Linked DNA regions of Pelodiscus sinensis. The protein of the gene in region 2 interacts with the protein of the main gene of each other region in a biochemical or structural test. Links are inferred from orthologs where the notes say so. Each region holds a gene or a part of one and is shown on either strand. Other genes may lie near its edges.

Region 1 (7,436 bases), on a different chromosome or scaffold from region 2:
ACAAGGACTTGGAACTCGCGGCTGCGCCAGCCGCCCCAAGGACAAGACGGTGGTCAGAGAGGTTGGACGGCAGCCGAAGCCCAGAGCGGGAGAACTCCCATCCAGCCCTGCAGCAGGAAGGAGGAAGGGGGCTAGAGAAACCGCCCCCCCCACACACTCAGCACAAGCGCCCCAGTGTCTACACCCCCCTCTCTAACCCCAGCAAAGGGAGGGGGGCAGCGGAGGAGGAAGGGGTGGGAGAGCTGAGAGGAGAGCAGACAGCGCCAGGTCCGGGGGCGGTAAAACAGCTCCTGCATCCAGCCCTGGAGGGCACCACGGTTTCTGTCAGCGTCACGCAACCCCCCACAGCCCATACGTCCCGACCAACAAATATCTGTTGATTAACCCACAGGCACTCCTAGCCTACGGTCAGGAGCCCTGGAGTCCCAAAGGGGGGCTGGCGCTGTGGCCCCAATGGAGGGGGAGGGCTGGCGCCGTGGCCCCGAAGGGAGGGGAGGGCTGGCGCCGTGGCCCCGAAGGGGGAGGGGAGGGCGTGGCTGGTGCCGTGGCCCCGAAGGGGGAGGGAGGGCTGGCGCCGTGGCCCCGAAGGGAGGGGAGGGGAGGGCGTGGCTGGCGCTGTGGCCCCAAAGGGGGAGGGGAGGGCGTGGCTGGTGCCGTGGCCCCAAAGGGGGAGGGGAGGGCGTGGCTGGTGCCGTGGCCCTTCTCTACACTTCAAAAGCTCCTTGAACACGTGCCAGCGGTGCCCTAAACCAGAAACTGAAGGAACCAGCTGCCCACAAAGTGGCAATGGGGGCACGGCTGGCATCTGAAGCAGCCCCTCTGCTGGGCGGGCAGCCGGTGCAGAAGACTGCTTGGCACTTCACCTGCACCCCTGGCACCCAAGGCCCCATACGCAGCTTGCAGCTCCTTGGGGCAGGGATCGGCAGGGGCGGGGCTGGCTCGCTGCCATCACCAAGGGATGCGAGGCTACGGTGGACGTGGGGAGCCCAGAGCCGCACGAAGCTGGGAGCCGTTCCCACCAGGGCCCACCACGGCAGAACTACCACACACCCGAGCTGCCTGCGCATGGCACTTGTGGATCTGAGCCAGGCCAGGGAGCAGGAAAGGGCCGGCGTTGCCTGGCTGCTGCAGTCCATCTGCAGAAATGGCACCGCTGGGAATAGCCGTGAATTAGAGTAATTCAGTATCTGTGGCGGCAGCTGCCAGCTCAGGCGCCTACGTAACAGACACCACCCTGCGCTGCACAGGTCCGGCGTGCCAGCCACAGGAGGCCACAAGCATGGGAGGGGAGGACCTGGGGCCGCAGGAGCCAGCGATAACAGAACTGAACCCACGTGGCTCTATGCCTCCTGCTTCAGTGGGAGGCAGCAGCAGGAGCGGGTAGGGGAGGCCCAAGGAATAAGAGGCTGAAGCCAACAGAGGGGGCAGGGGAAGCGCCACACACTGCCTCTCAGATGCCAGGTGGGGGCATGTCTTGAACTCAGCTTTGGGGGGGGGGGGCAGGAGAGCCCCATCTGACCCACGGCTCAGTCCCAGGCCCATCAAGGGGGCGCTTGCCAGTCACACCCCCCCCCCCACCTTTCTCCAGTCCCTCTGGTGAAAGGAGCCACGGACCTGGCCTCCTGCAGGAAAGCTGGCCCAGCCCCACGGCCTGCCCCAGCCCTGCCAACCCCCGGGGCAAAGCCAAAGTAGGGAGCCAGACCCATCTGACTGGCCAAGCTCTGTCCCATCTGCACAGGCCCAATTCCTCCCCACGCCGACCGGCCCAGTCATCCAGCACCCGGCACTGTGGGGACTCCCCTGCAGCCCTCCTCCTCGATCCACCCTCCAAGGGAAGCGGAGGGCTGCCCTGTTCCCAGGCAGTGTGGGGTTAACCCGAAGCAGAGCCCCCCGGATCTGGGAACCTGGGGGGTCGTGTGGGGCAGCTTGGCTGGAGGTGCCGCACCAGGGGGCAAGAGACTGGGATGCGCCTGCCTCTTAGAGGCTGTGCAGCCAAGGGATCACTGCCCCAGCCCACCTGCGGGCACAGGTGCGGGATCGAGGGGTGGTCTCCCGCATGGGGGGGGGTCACAGTTTGGGTCAATAGCTCCCACCCCCGCATTGCTCCCCGCCACGCCCCCGGCCACCCACCTGCAGCTCGCACCAGGCCACCTCCACGGTGGTCTCGGTGTCCAGCCCCTTGTAGACGGTCTTGAAGGAGCCGCGGCCGATCTCGATGTCGAACTTGAGGAAGCGGCCGTCCGGGGAGGTGGCCACGGCGCGGGTCTCGATCTCCTCGTTCTCGTCCTGCGCCCGGCGGCTCTCGTCCGGGGAGGCGCCGCGCGGGGAGCCCCGGCCGGGGGGCGGCGAGGGCGTCTCGCTGCCGGAGCGCGCCGCGGGCTCCGCGCCTTGGCGAGCCCGGGGGTCCCCCCGCGCGTCCTCCGGGCCCGGCCCCCGCCGCTCCAGCTCGGCCGAGCTCCGCCGGCTGAACTTGTAGGAGCCGCGGCGGCTCTCGCGGCCCGCCAGCCTGCGCCCCCGGCTGCGGAGCGGGGCTGCCCGGCCGGGGGTCCCCGGTTCCAGGGCGATGCCGCAGCCGGACAGATCCACCTCGGGCTGGGACATGGCTGCGGCCGCGGGGGGCCCGGCCACGTGGAGCATCAGCATGGGGGGGGGGGGTGAGGGGCTCCCCGCGCCGCTTCGCACCTGGGGGGCGCAGCCGGACTGGGACGGGAGCCGCGGTGCGTGCGGCGCCAGCCCGGAGCCGAGCTCCGCCCGCCCGGCACCGCCCCCGGCCCGCCCCCAGCGCTGGAGAGCGGGGTCCCGCAGCCGCCTGGCCTGCGCAGCCCGGGGAGCAGCCCCCGGAGCGCCCCGCCACCAGGAGGTGTTGGAGAGGCTGGGACAGCGCGGAGCCCCCCTCGCTGCGGGAGCGACCCTACAATAACAAGGCGGGGCGACCAAGCCGCCTGGCCTCTGTGCCCCGCTCCGAGCCGCGCTGCCCTGGGGCCTCTGGAGCGGGTTGTGGTGGCCACAGGAGGAGTCCTCCTGCCCAAACCAGCTCCTCCATTGTGCAGCCCCAAGTGGGCTCCGGAGGGGGGGGGGCGCGGAGAAAGCCCCAAAGAAACAACCCTCCTTGCAGATAGACCCAGGCTGGGCTAGGAGCACGAGGGCATTAAGACCCCTGGGGAGACTGCGGGCTAATGAGCCCTGTGGGCCAGGTGCCTCCTGCCTGCAGCTCAAAGACAGACCCACGTCATGGGAAGGTGTTAGCCCAGGGTGCCCAACTAATGCCCAAGTCCTTCTGTCCTGTCCATGTTGCTTTGGGAAAGGCAGGAGCCTGGCTTAAAGTGGGGGTAGACTGAGGGGGCTCAGGGTTCTGTTCCTGGCACTGCTGCTTTGCCGAACCCTTGCCTCTCTCTGGACCTCCGTTTCCCCATCTGCCCAATGGGCTTGTGCTGCTGACCCCCTTCACAAAGCGCTTTGAGATCTCGGGAGGTTAAATGTGGTTGCTATTCTTAGAGAGGCCCACTGCTCTGTCCTGCTAGCGGGTCGGGGGGGGACCTCGACCACGACCAGGGCCGCTGACCCACAGAAAAATCAGTCGGGGGCTGCACACAAGTGAGAAGCAAAAAAACCCAAACCAAACCCTCACTGTCGTGGCCCCCGACTGAGAAGGAGAAAGACCCTCCCCACTTTCCCCTCAAAACCCAGAGAGCGGGGGGGGGGAGCACCAGCTCCCCAATGCTAGGGTGGAGCCTTAAGCCTCAGGGGCTGGATTCAAGCAAGCTGGGGGCTGCATCCAGCCCCTGGGCCTTAGGTCCCCCACCCCCGCGCTTTGGCATGCGTTCCTATGAGCAACACAGAACCACCTGCTGTCCAGGGCTCCTTCCTCAGCTGTCTGTTCTGCAGCGCACTCGGGGAGGCCGTTCCTGCTGGCGGAGACTCCTGATCCAGCCACCCCCACACCAAGGAAGCGCCCTCTAAAACGCTGATGCGGCAAGGAAACAGGAGAATTAACCCATCTGAGTCCCCATTGGTCACGTCTTCCCTCACTTGGCTGCGCGTTATTCTGCTGAGGTGGTAACTCTCCAGTGCTCAGGGACGTGAGTAGGGAGAGCCAGGCAGGTGTTGTCACTGCCCCGTGCTCAGAACCTGGGCCAGATTTCGGGGCAGGCTGCTGCCTGGGGTGCCGGCCGTGGGGGGCACCAGGCTCGGAGGGCTGGTTTTAGACAAAAGAGAACAGAATCTTGGAAGTAAAATGTTCCAGGCATTTGTGAGTGGATTCTTTTTTCGTTAAACTCCTAGAATGTTCCGGCCCTTTGTAGAATCGTGTGGAACCTTCCAGACTTTCCGAGAACCACATTTTCCTCAAACTTCCAAGAACGTGTCAGCCAGGCCCTTGCAGGTATTTCAGGGGCGGCCCGTCACCTGTCAGTCAGGGAGATATAAGAATGAAGTGAAAGCCCAGGTGCCATATTGTGATCAAGGATGGGGAACATATGGCCCAGGGGCCGGATTCGGCCCCCGGCTTGCCTGGATCCGGCCCTCGAGGCCCTCCCTCCCGCCCAGGGTCCACACTCCAAACCTGTTTCCCAGCAGCCTCCTCCCACATACTGCACTCCTCATTTTCTGGCCCCACCCTAGAGGCTAGAGGACCCCACAAAATCTACTGGCTCAGCCCCTCCCCCCCATGCTCTGGTAACATGGGGAGTGTCTTTCTGCTTCTCACATCAGTGACTTTTTTTTTTTTTTTTGCTTCTCACTTTTGTGTGGGCCCCGACTGGTTTTTCTGTGGGACAGTGGCTGCCGACCCAAAAAAGGTTCCCCACCCCCGATTTACTGTGTAATTGTGTTTTAAGATGTGAAGAGTGTAATTAGCACCAGATAAAGGACAGATTGAATGAGAAAGATAAGGGTTCAATAGATATTTTTCCTATGCTACAATATAAAAGAAAGACTGTTATTTCCTTTGCCAGGCTTATCATGTAATGTTTGATGACTTACTAAGGCTGGAGGACAAGGACTTTTGCTCTCCCTAACACTGGCTGTTTTCCACTGAAGAAAATAAAAGATTCCCCGGAAGAGAAGGAAGCAAAAAGCACAGTTGCAATCTAGTTTTCAGCAAGGGGCAAATCTGATGGGAAAATAGCAGAAACAGGACGACACAGACTGGGCTTACTTTCGGCTGTTGGGGTTGTCCGAGTGCAGAGAAATCGAGGAGTGACATATAAATGAGGGGAGTCCTATGACTATAAAATTAGAAGATGTACTTGAAGAGAAGGAAGGAAAATGTGAGGAAAGCGATGGAGAATCGTCCAGGTTTCTTGGCGGTACGAAGGAGCGTGGTGATACAGGAGAATATGAAAAGGGGAGTCGTGGCAAAATATAACCTGGCTTATGTGAACAGGAGAGAAACGGTTAGGAAGAATCGACCTCGTGTGATGACAGAAACAGCTGTGACTGCCATCCCCTCGCCCTAGATGTGTCAGACGCAGCATCGTCGTCTTTAGAATCAGGCTCTTTTCGGACTGCTGCAAAGGAGGTACGCCCTGTTTTTGGCATCCGCAATCAGGTGGAAAAAAGGCAATGTTACAAATTGGACTGTGACACCACTAGGCAGGGGTGACGGTGGATGCTGGGACATACCGGTGTGTCCTGTACTGCTTCGGGTGTCCTTGGCCAGCAGCTCTGGGCCCCCAGAAGGGACCTGGCCTCAGCCAGAAGGAGTGAGGCAGGGGGCAGACTGCCCCAACTAGTCCTTCATGGCTGCTGTGTCCGCAGCCTGGAGCCCTGGGACTCTTGATGGCAATCTGAAGGACCCAGGCCCTAATAAACTGCTGGCCCCTGAGGCAGCCCCCCTCTGCCAGCGGCGTTTAGTATCAGCCGTACACAGACCTGTATGGTGGCCGGGTCTTAGTGCGCCGAACCATCCTGCACCAGCCACTTTTCACCTCTGCCACTAAGTGACACACACTGGGAGAGCAGCATCAAGGCCGGCGGGAACCAAGCGACTGAGGTTTATGACGCCCTCGTGAACTGGCGCAGCCAAGTAAAGCCAAGGCCAGAATCCAAGACGAGGCACAAAGCCTGGCAAAGCAGATCCCTGGCTTCAAATTTCTGGTCTCAGCTGTGGTTTGGCATGTTCTCCTGTTCCAAGTACACGTTACACACAAGGCATGACAGACTCGGTGAATGGACATCGCGACTGCTACTACGTTGAGGAGAAGCTGCCTTGATTGCCAGAGAAGACCAGGGTTCAAAAAAAATCTAGACAGAGGTCTATAAAATCATGACCGGTGTGGAAAAAGTGAACAAGGAAAAGTTATATACTTATTCCTACAATATAAGAACCAGGGGTCACCAAATGAAATTCATAGGCAGCAGGTTTAAAACAAACAAAAGGAAGTTTTTCTTCACTCAGCGCACAGTCAACCTGTGGAACTCCTTGCCAGAGGATGTGGTGAAGGCTAGATCTTTAACAGGGTTCAAAAAAATGCTAGATAGATTCATGGAGGTTAGGTCCATCAGTGGCTATTAGCCAGAATGGGTAGGAATGGTGTCCCTAGCTTCTATTTGTTTAGAAATGGATGACAGGAGAGGAATCACATGAGGATTACCTGTTGTGATCCCTCCCTCTGGGGCATCTGGCATTGGCCTCTGTCAGCAGACAGGATACTGGGCTAGATGGACCTTTGGTCTGACTCACTCTGGCCATTCTTATCTTCTCTTATGATTTCATTGTTGCCTACAGAGACAACAGACTTGAAGATACTATCAACACTGCAGCTAAAGAAATGTGGGGAAACTGAGGATTTAAGCCCATCTTCAAGGAAATTCATATTAATCGGAAGAAGTTTGGTTAGGAGGGCAGAGATGAGGTGATGGGAAGCTTGGAAGAAAATTCAAGAGGGAGTTTTATTGCTCACTCATAAACAGGGCTTGACAAACGGCAGCGAAAGCCACTCGCCAACCCCGCACTGCGCATGTGCAAGAGCTGCATTGTGCATGTGCACGCCACCGGTAAACGGGGCGCCGGGCTGAAATCTACTCGCCACGGGCGAGTAGATTCAATAGTTTGTTGAGCCCTGCTCATAGACACTGCTTGATTAGCCATCAAAGAAACATTTGGACAAATGAAGCACCATCAAAAGACTGTAGGGGAAGAGGGAGGATGGTTGTGTGACCGTAGTAAGCTGCCAGCGGACAGGAAAATCTCTTGAACAATTGTGTGGACCTTCACCAGACACATGGGGAACGTTCGGCCATCAATGCTAAAGACCTTTCTGTTGAATTGGACAACATCTGTCACATTTTGCCACATGGAAAGCACTCTGCATGCCAAGCTCTCCCATTCATCCATGACACAGAGCTGAAGGGGTCACCGAATGACATTAACAGGTAGCAAGTTTAAAACAAACAAGAGGAAATTTTTCTTCACACAACACACAGTCAACCTGTGG
Region 2 (7,338 bases):
GGGGGAGATTGGGCGAGGGAACTGGCGGGCGGGAAGCAGGGCTGGCGGGGGATGGAGGGAGAGTTGGCTGGGGGAGATCGGGAGGAGGAGGGGAGAACTGGCCGCCGGAAGCAAGGCTGGTGGGGGCATCAGGGCTGGCCGGGGAAGATTGGGAGAAGTGGGGGAGAACCGGCCTGGAGAGGGGGTCAGGGAGAGCGGAGGGAAGGAGAAAGGGGGAGCGAATCGGACGGCAGGGAGCAGGACTGACCCGGGCACGTGCAGATCCCAGGGCACTGGCTGTCCCATGCATGGTCCCGGTGAAGCACGAGTGAGTCCGGGTACAGCTCCACAACGAACTGGAACAGCACTCAGGAGCACATACAGGGCTTCCCCTCCTCCCCAAGGCATCACAAGCAACCAGAGGCTCCCAGCGCCGATTGCGCCCTGCCTCCCAGTCCCTGCCCCTGCCCCCGCCAGGCTTCCCTCGGGTGCCCAGCTGGAAAACTAGAAAATACTGGACATTGCCCATGTCTGGTATTTTCTGAATTTTTTTACCGGACAGAGGGCCCAAAAACCGGACAGTCTGGTTGAATACCGGACACCTGGCAACCTGGGGAGGACAGAGGACAAGGCAGGGCTTGGGGCAGAAGAGGGGTGTTACATGGCTGGTGGCTTCCTACCCCCCAATCCCTTCTCTCCAGTCACCTCTGCAGGTAAACTGGAAGGCAAAAATAAAACCCAACATAGAAATTCCACAGATTTTGCCAAATATCCCAGCTGATTAGAGTTATCCCTGGCACTAACTATTTTATCTATTTAAAAACTGTCTTGAAAGTGTCTAGCTGAGTGCATAATTAGTGTATGATCTGAAATATCTGTGCAGCTTGAAAGCTTGTCTCTCACCAGCAGAAGCTGATCAAAGATATTACCTCACTCACCTTGTCTGTATAGTCTATGTAAATTTATGTTAATATTATTATCCTCTTCATCGCTCCATTCCTTCTGAGTTACCCTGTCCCCCTCCCTTAGGCCCTACTTCTGCCACACACATCCATCAGTGAAGCTCCATATAGGCTTAGCTGTGCACCTCTGTGCAGTGCAGTTTCACACACAGGGCCTGAGATAGCCAACACTCTAGAAACAGTTTTCCCACTCTCTGTAGAGTACCTAGCACAGTTATTCCCCTATCCTGCCTTTGGGCATTCCTACAAAGTCAGATCTGATGGGCGATTACTCTTTGCCAAGTATGATCATCTTCCATGGGAGCTGTACTCCCTCAAATGGCTGATAAGGCTGATCCTTGAACCATGTTTTATTACAATGAGGACAGATGTTTCCAGGTACAGCAGGAGGCTGCTGACCATGACTAGAAACTAGTCTCCCCTTCCTCCTGCGCCTTTTCTCCTTTTGAGCATGTTGGCAGGCTAATTCAAAAAGCAGGGGCCATCACAGAGAACTTCTCTCCATTTTGAGTGATCCTGGATGGATGTCTCCCAGCTGTGCATGTTGCTCTTCTTTAAAAGTTATCATTTAGCAAGTCCTTATAATGCTTCTGCTGTCCTCTCATGTTACAGTACCCTTCTTTCAGCTGAGAAAACAGGACTTGTTTTGGGAGACGATGGTCTGGCATCTGAACAACGTGACCAGTCCAGCAAAGTTGCTGACGGATGATCATTGCCTCCATACTGGTGGTCTTTACCTCTTTCAGAACATTAATGTGAGTGTGCTTGTCTTCCCATTTGATCTTCTAGATCTCGAGGAGGCAGGGTGGGTAGTACTTCTCAATGACTTTCAAATAATGTTTGTAGGTTGTTCAGGTTTCAGATCCATACAACAGCATTGGAAGAATGACGGCTTGATAGACAAGAAGGTTCATGATTGTTCAAATGTTGTGATCTTCAAAAACCCTGTGCTGTAACCAAGCAAAGGCTGAAGTGGCACAGCTCAGCCGATGTTGGATTTCTACATCAATATCTGCCTTGAACTAAGGATGTAAGCGATTAGTCGAGTGATTACTCAGCTAGTAGCTTCTCTCCCTTTTGCTGTCTCTGTATCAGAGGCAGGAAGGCTGGGGGAGTAGGAGCCAGTGCTGGGTGGAGCCGGCTTAAAAGTTGGTTCCCCCAGCACTGTCTCCGTAGTACAGGGAGCGCAGGGGAAGCAGAGCTGCAGCAGTCCCATAGGCGGCACGAGATGGGACTTTTTGGTCCCGGTTCACACAGCCCCTGGGAGCTAATCCTGCTGCAGCTCTGCACTTTAAATGTAGTAAATAATGTTATTACATTTTGGCTACGTCTACACTGGCAAGATTTTGCGCAAATACTTTTAATATAAGAGGTTTTGCGTTAAAGTATTTGCACAAGAGAGCATATACACTGGCATGTGCTTTTGTGCAAGAGATGTGTTTTTGTGCAAAAGCATCCGTTCCAGTGTAGACGCTCTCTTGCGCAAGAAAGCTCCAATGGCCATTTTAGCCATCGGGCTTTCTTGTGCAAGAAATTCATGTTGCCTGTCTACACTGGCCTCTTGCGCAAGAACAGTTGCGCAAGAGGGCTTTTTCCTGAGCAGGAGCATCATAGTTCTTGCGCAAGAAGCACTGATTTCACACATTAGAACGTCAGTGTTCTTGCGCAAGAACTCCCCACCAGTGTAGACAGGCAGCATGCTTTTGTGTAAAATCATGTCAATGTAGACACAGCCTTAAAGTGCAGAGCTACCTCTGGGAGCTAACCCCGCTTATAATCTAACCTCCCCCCTCCCCCCTCCCCGCATCAACTACTTGATTAGTTAATGAACTGATACTTAACATCTCTACCTTGGATGAAAGATAACTTCCAAGGTAAAGAAAATGATTGACATTCTCCAATGCCTCTCAATTGATTTTAATAGATGGGGGTGTATGGCACCTTGTTTGGAGAGGGCTAATGGAACACTTAGTCTTCTTGATATCTCACCCTGAATATGAAGAATGTCATAACTGAAGGGGCTACGTCTTGCTGAGAAACCCAGAAAATGCTTCCAGGATTTTATCATGGTTAGTAATCAGTCAGAATACTTCATTTGACCTGATACTTAAATCAGAAAGTCGGGTTATGTTACTCTGTATTGAAATTAGGAAGGGGTAAGTATTTAGAAGCCTGTGGCAGCGAGGAGAACTAAGACAGGAAAGAGTGAACTTTGTTCTGCCCCAGCTGAAACCCATCATAACCGCTCCCTAAATTTAAATAACTGTACATAAGAACGGCCATACTGGGTCAGACCAAACTTCCATCTAGCCCAGTATTGCGTTTGCGGACAGTGGCCAATACCAGATGCCCCAGAGGGAGGGCTCACAACAGGTAATCCTCATGTGATCCCTCCCGTCACCCACTTCCAGAGAAACAGAGACTAGGGACGCCATTCCTACCCATCCTGGCTAATAGCCATTGATGGACCTAACCGCCATGAATCTATCTCGCTCTTTTTTGAACATTGTTAAAGTTCTAGCCTTCACCGCATCCTCCGGCAAGGAGTTCCAATCCCAGAGGATTGCCTCAAGCAGCTGGGATCATCACAGTAAAATCGAACTCCCCTGGACATACAGGACGGGTGGCATGACCAGGGCTAGGTGGCGATGCACTCACCGGCCCTTCTGCATGATGAAGCCATGCGCCTCAGAGCCGCATTCCCCATAGCCATTCCCCCCAAGATGGGCTCTGCCTGGTACACTGGGCACAGGCCCCACACAGCTCAACACAGCACTGCCCTGATCCTTTCTTCTCCCCACCCAAGGCACACATATTAGCAGGGGCGGGGCTTCAAGCTATTGACAGCCTTTCAGCCAATCGCTGCAGGAGCTGAGAACCAATCCACAGCGGTCATAGAGACGTGGGGGAAGTCCTTTTCTGCACCTCCCTGAGGAGGCGAACGGCCGCCATCTTGTATGTGGCATGCTCTCAACCCGCTTCTAGCTCTTCAAGTCCTTATCGTCCTCGGGATGCCTAGCTATAAGCAGTCGTTCATATGATGATAGCGATGGGAGGTGATTGAAATCCTGGGGAGGCGAGAGACGGCTGGCAAGCGCCTCACTCAATATGGCGGATGAACTACACCTTCTTCAAGATGGCGTCGACAGGCGTTTGCGGGTGACGTCATCCCGCGTCGCTGTACGCTGGTGGTGGGAGGCCCCATCTTAGTGGGGAAGGGGGGGTGGAGAAGTGGTTTCCATAGCAGCGTAGGGTTTTTTTTTTTTTGCAGAACGTTACGGGCTGCCTTTTCTACGGGCTTTCTTTTTTTTTTTAATGGTTTCGACTAGGCCCCGCCCAGCGTGACTGGGACGCCCGGCCCCTCGCCGTTCTGTAACCACGCCCCCACCGCTGACCGCCCAGCCAATGGGGAGGCGAGAGGGGAGGCGGCGCGGCGAGGGCTCAGGCAGGGGCGGCTTTCGGGCGGCGCGCCTCTCTCGGTCCTTCCCCGCTGCCCAGCTCGCTGCCCCGGGGACGCGCCGCCATGGCCGAGGACCCCAGCTCCCTGCCCTGGTCCATCAACAGGGATGACTATGAGCTGCAGGAGGTGATCGGTGAGTGGGGCGCGCGGGCCTGGGCTGCCCGCTCCCTGCGGCGGGGGGAGGCTCTGCGGGAGCGCTGGGGTGGGGGTGCGGCTGCGCTGGCCGCCGTGGCCGTAGCGGGGCTGTGCCAGCGGGCCGGGTGGGGTGTCTGCTCCAGACCGGGCCTGGCTGCTGGGGGTGTGTACCCGACCGGGGGGGGGTGTCTGCCCGTATGGGAGACGAAGGTCCGGGGTGGGTGTCTGCGCCCGTGCCAGAGTCAGAGGGCGAGGGCCCGGGGTGGGGGGTGTCTCCTCCCATACGGGAGTCGAGGGACGAAGGTCCGGGGTGGGGGGGGGGGGGTGTCGCTGCCCGTACGGGAGTCAGGGGGCCCGGGGTGGGGGGGGGTCGCTGCCCGTACGGGAGTCAGGGGGCCCGGGGTGGGGGGGGGGGGGTCGCTGCCCGTACGGGAGTCAGGGGGCGAGAGGCCGGGTCGGGGGGGGGCGTGTCTGTCCGTACGGGAGTCAGGGGGCCCGGGGTGGGGGGGGGTCGCTGCCCGTACGGGAGTCAGGGGGCCCGGGGTGGGGGGGGGTCGCTGCCCGTACGGGAGTCAGGGGGCCCGGGGTGGGGGGGGGGGTCGCTGCCCGTACGGGAGTCAGGGGGCCCGGGGTGGGGGGGGGGTCGCTGCCCGTACGGGAGTCAGGGGGCCCGGGGTGGGGTGGGGGGGGGGTCGCTGCCCGTACGGGAGTCAGGGGGCGTGGGGTGGGGTGGGGTGGGGGTCGCTGCCCGTACGGGAGTCAGGGGGCGAGAGGCCGGGTCGGGGGGGGGGCGTGTCTGTCCGTACGGGAGTCAGGGGGCCCGGGGTGGGGGGGGGGTCGCTGCCCGTACGGGAGTCAGGGGGCGAGAGGCCGGGTCCGGGGGGGGGGGCGTGTCTGTCCGTACGGGAGTCAGGGGGCCCGGAGTGGGGGGGGGGGGGGCGTGTCTGTCCGTACGGGAATCAGAGGGCCCGGGTCCGGGGGGGGGGGGGCGTGTCTGTCCGTACGGGAATCAGAGGGCCCGGGTCCGGGGGGGGGGGGCGTGTCTGTCCGTACGGGAATCAGAGGGCCCGGGTCCGGGGGGGGGGGGGGGGCGTGTCTGTCCGTACGGGAGTCAGGGGGCGAGAGGCCGGGTCCGGGGGGGCGTGTCTGTCCGTACGGGAATCAGAGGGCCCGGGTCCGGGGGGGGGCGTGTCTGTCCGTACGGGAATCAGAGGGCCCGGGTCCGGGGGGGGGTGTGTGTCTGCCGGTACCGGAGTCGGGGAACAAGGGTTCGGGCCCAACGTATGTGTGTGAGGGTGTCTGCTCTGGCTCCGGAGACTGGGGCTGGCTCCTGGGAAGAAGGGCCCGAGGTGTGTGTGTGGAGGGGGGTGTCGTGCCAGGTAGCAGCGGGCTACGGCCCAGCGTGTGTGTCTGCCTGCCTGCCTGCCTTGACCCTGGAGACCGGGCCTGGCTCCTGGGGGGTCGCTCCGAGGTGCGTGCGTGTCTGTGCTGGGGGTTAGGGGCCCCGTTCTTCCCGGCCCTAGCGTGGGGGTGTGTCTGCCTTGTCCCTGGAGATGGGACCTGGCTCCTGGGGGTAGGAGTTGTCGCCGGGGCATCTGCCCAGCCCTGGGGGGGGGGGAGGGGCGAGGCAGGGCTGTGTGTTCCTGGCCTTAACCTGGAGACGTGCTGGCTCGGTTCCTACTCCGGAGGTGGACGGCCGCGAGGGGGTGTGGCTCTCCCGTTGTCTCCCTTCCGAGTCAGTTTCTGTGGGCTGGATTCCTGCTCTCGGGCTGGGGGATCTTGGGGTTTAGGGCCGTGCTTGCAATGGAGGGGCTTTGTTCCAGCTCAGGAAATAGGAGGGCAAAGGGGGACTGGGCTCTTACTCCAGTTCTTTTGTGAGTGTTTTGGGACCTGGGAGTGCCCGTCTCATCAGGTCTGCAGATGCCTTGAGAACTGTATGTATGCTCCTAGGACCTGGGCAAGTGTAAGATTTCCGGGGTGGGGTGGGCCTGGCAACTCTGGAGCCCTGTGGGGCTGTCAGTTTCTGCTTCTGGGAGTGCTAGGATTTCTGAAGTGTCTCTCTCTTATAACTGAAAAGGGAAGGGAAGTCACTATACACTCGCTCCAGTGCCTATTGGATCTCAAAATAATTAGAGTGTATGTTTCTGGAAGTGTCTCTAGGGAACTCTGTATTTTTTTCCTCTGGAGTTGTGTATTGTAGCCTATGGTCCAGTGGCTTCCCCTGCCCCCTTCACTGAGTCAGTGGATTTCACTAGTTGAGTCATTTGGGAAAGAGTTCTCTATATTTTTCTCATTTTTGGGCTGTCTTTGTTTTCGAATTGGAGATATTTGCTATGGGTGGTTGCCTGCCCACTTTGGGTTTTGGAGGAGGAGTACCTTTTGTACCTTTTGATGCATGGGCTGTCTTGGTTGGTAGGAAGGATGAAGTGATAAGGTGTTTATTGAGGGGTTTTGGATGTTGATAAATAATGAAGGGCAGTTTATATTCCAGAATCCAAGGAAGACAGTTTCCTTTATAGAGCAGCTGCTCCAAGCTTTATTCAGTCAGAAGGGAGAGTCCATTCATATGGTGATTATTAATTTCAAGGCACTGTATATGCCTCTGTTTAGAAGAGGAGGGATTTTGCTATGGTTGCGTCTTTATATAGTTGAAGTCTTTTTCATTCATTCTTTTTTTCAGCTTCAGAGAACAGCCATTGCTCTTATGAATGACGGAGTCTCTGTTGACTTAAATTTCATTGGTGTGGTAGATTTCTCTGTCCTGATTCTCTCAATCTTTCTTTTTAATAACTTTGTCAGTAC

Evidence for each region. The genes of interacting proteins can lie anywhere in the genome.
Region 1: the proteins of OXSR1 (region 2) and WNK4 are reported together in a solved structure, tested with the Homo sapiens proteins (2 studies listed by BioGRID and IntAct, with this or other methods). The link is inferred for Pelodiscus sinensis from reciprocal best matches to the Homo sapiens genes OXSR1 and WNK4.

Annotation. Positions count from the first base shown.
Region 1 is NC_134739.1:8,658,803-8,666,238, forward strand, and holds the start of WNK4 (serine/threonine-protein kinase WNK4), read right to left. Parts: upstream 3,100-7,436; 5' UTR 2,644-3,099; coding exon 2,131-2,643; intron 1-2,130. UniProt on the Homo sapiens protein: Serine/threonine-protein kinase component of the WNK4-SPAK/OSR1 kinase cascade, which acts as a key regulator of ion transport in the distal nephron and blood pressure.
Region 2 is NC_134712.1:247,504,670-247,512,007, reverse strand, and holds the start of OXSR1 (serine/threonine-protein kinase OSR1), read left to right. Parts: upstream 1-4,327; 5' UTR 4,328-4,464; coding exon 4,465-4,534; intron 4,535-7,338. UniProt on the Homo sapiens protein: Effector serine/threonine-protein kinase component of the WNK-SPAK/OSR1 kinase cascade, which is involved in various processes, such as ion transport, response to hypertonic stress and blood pressure.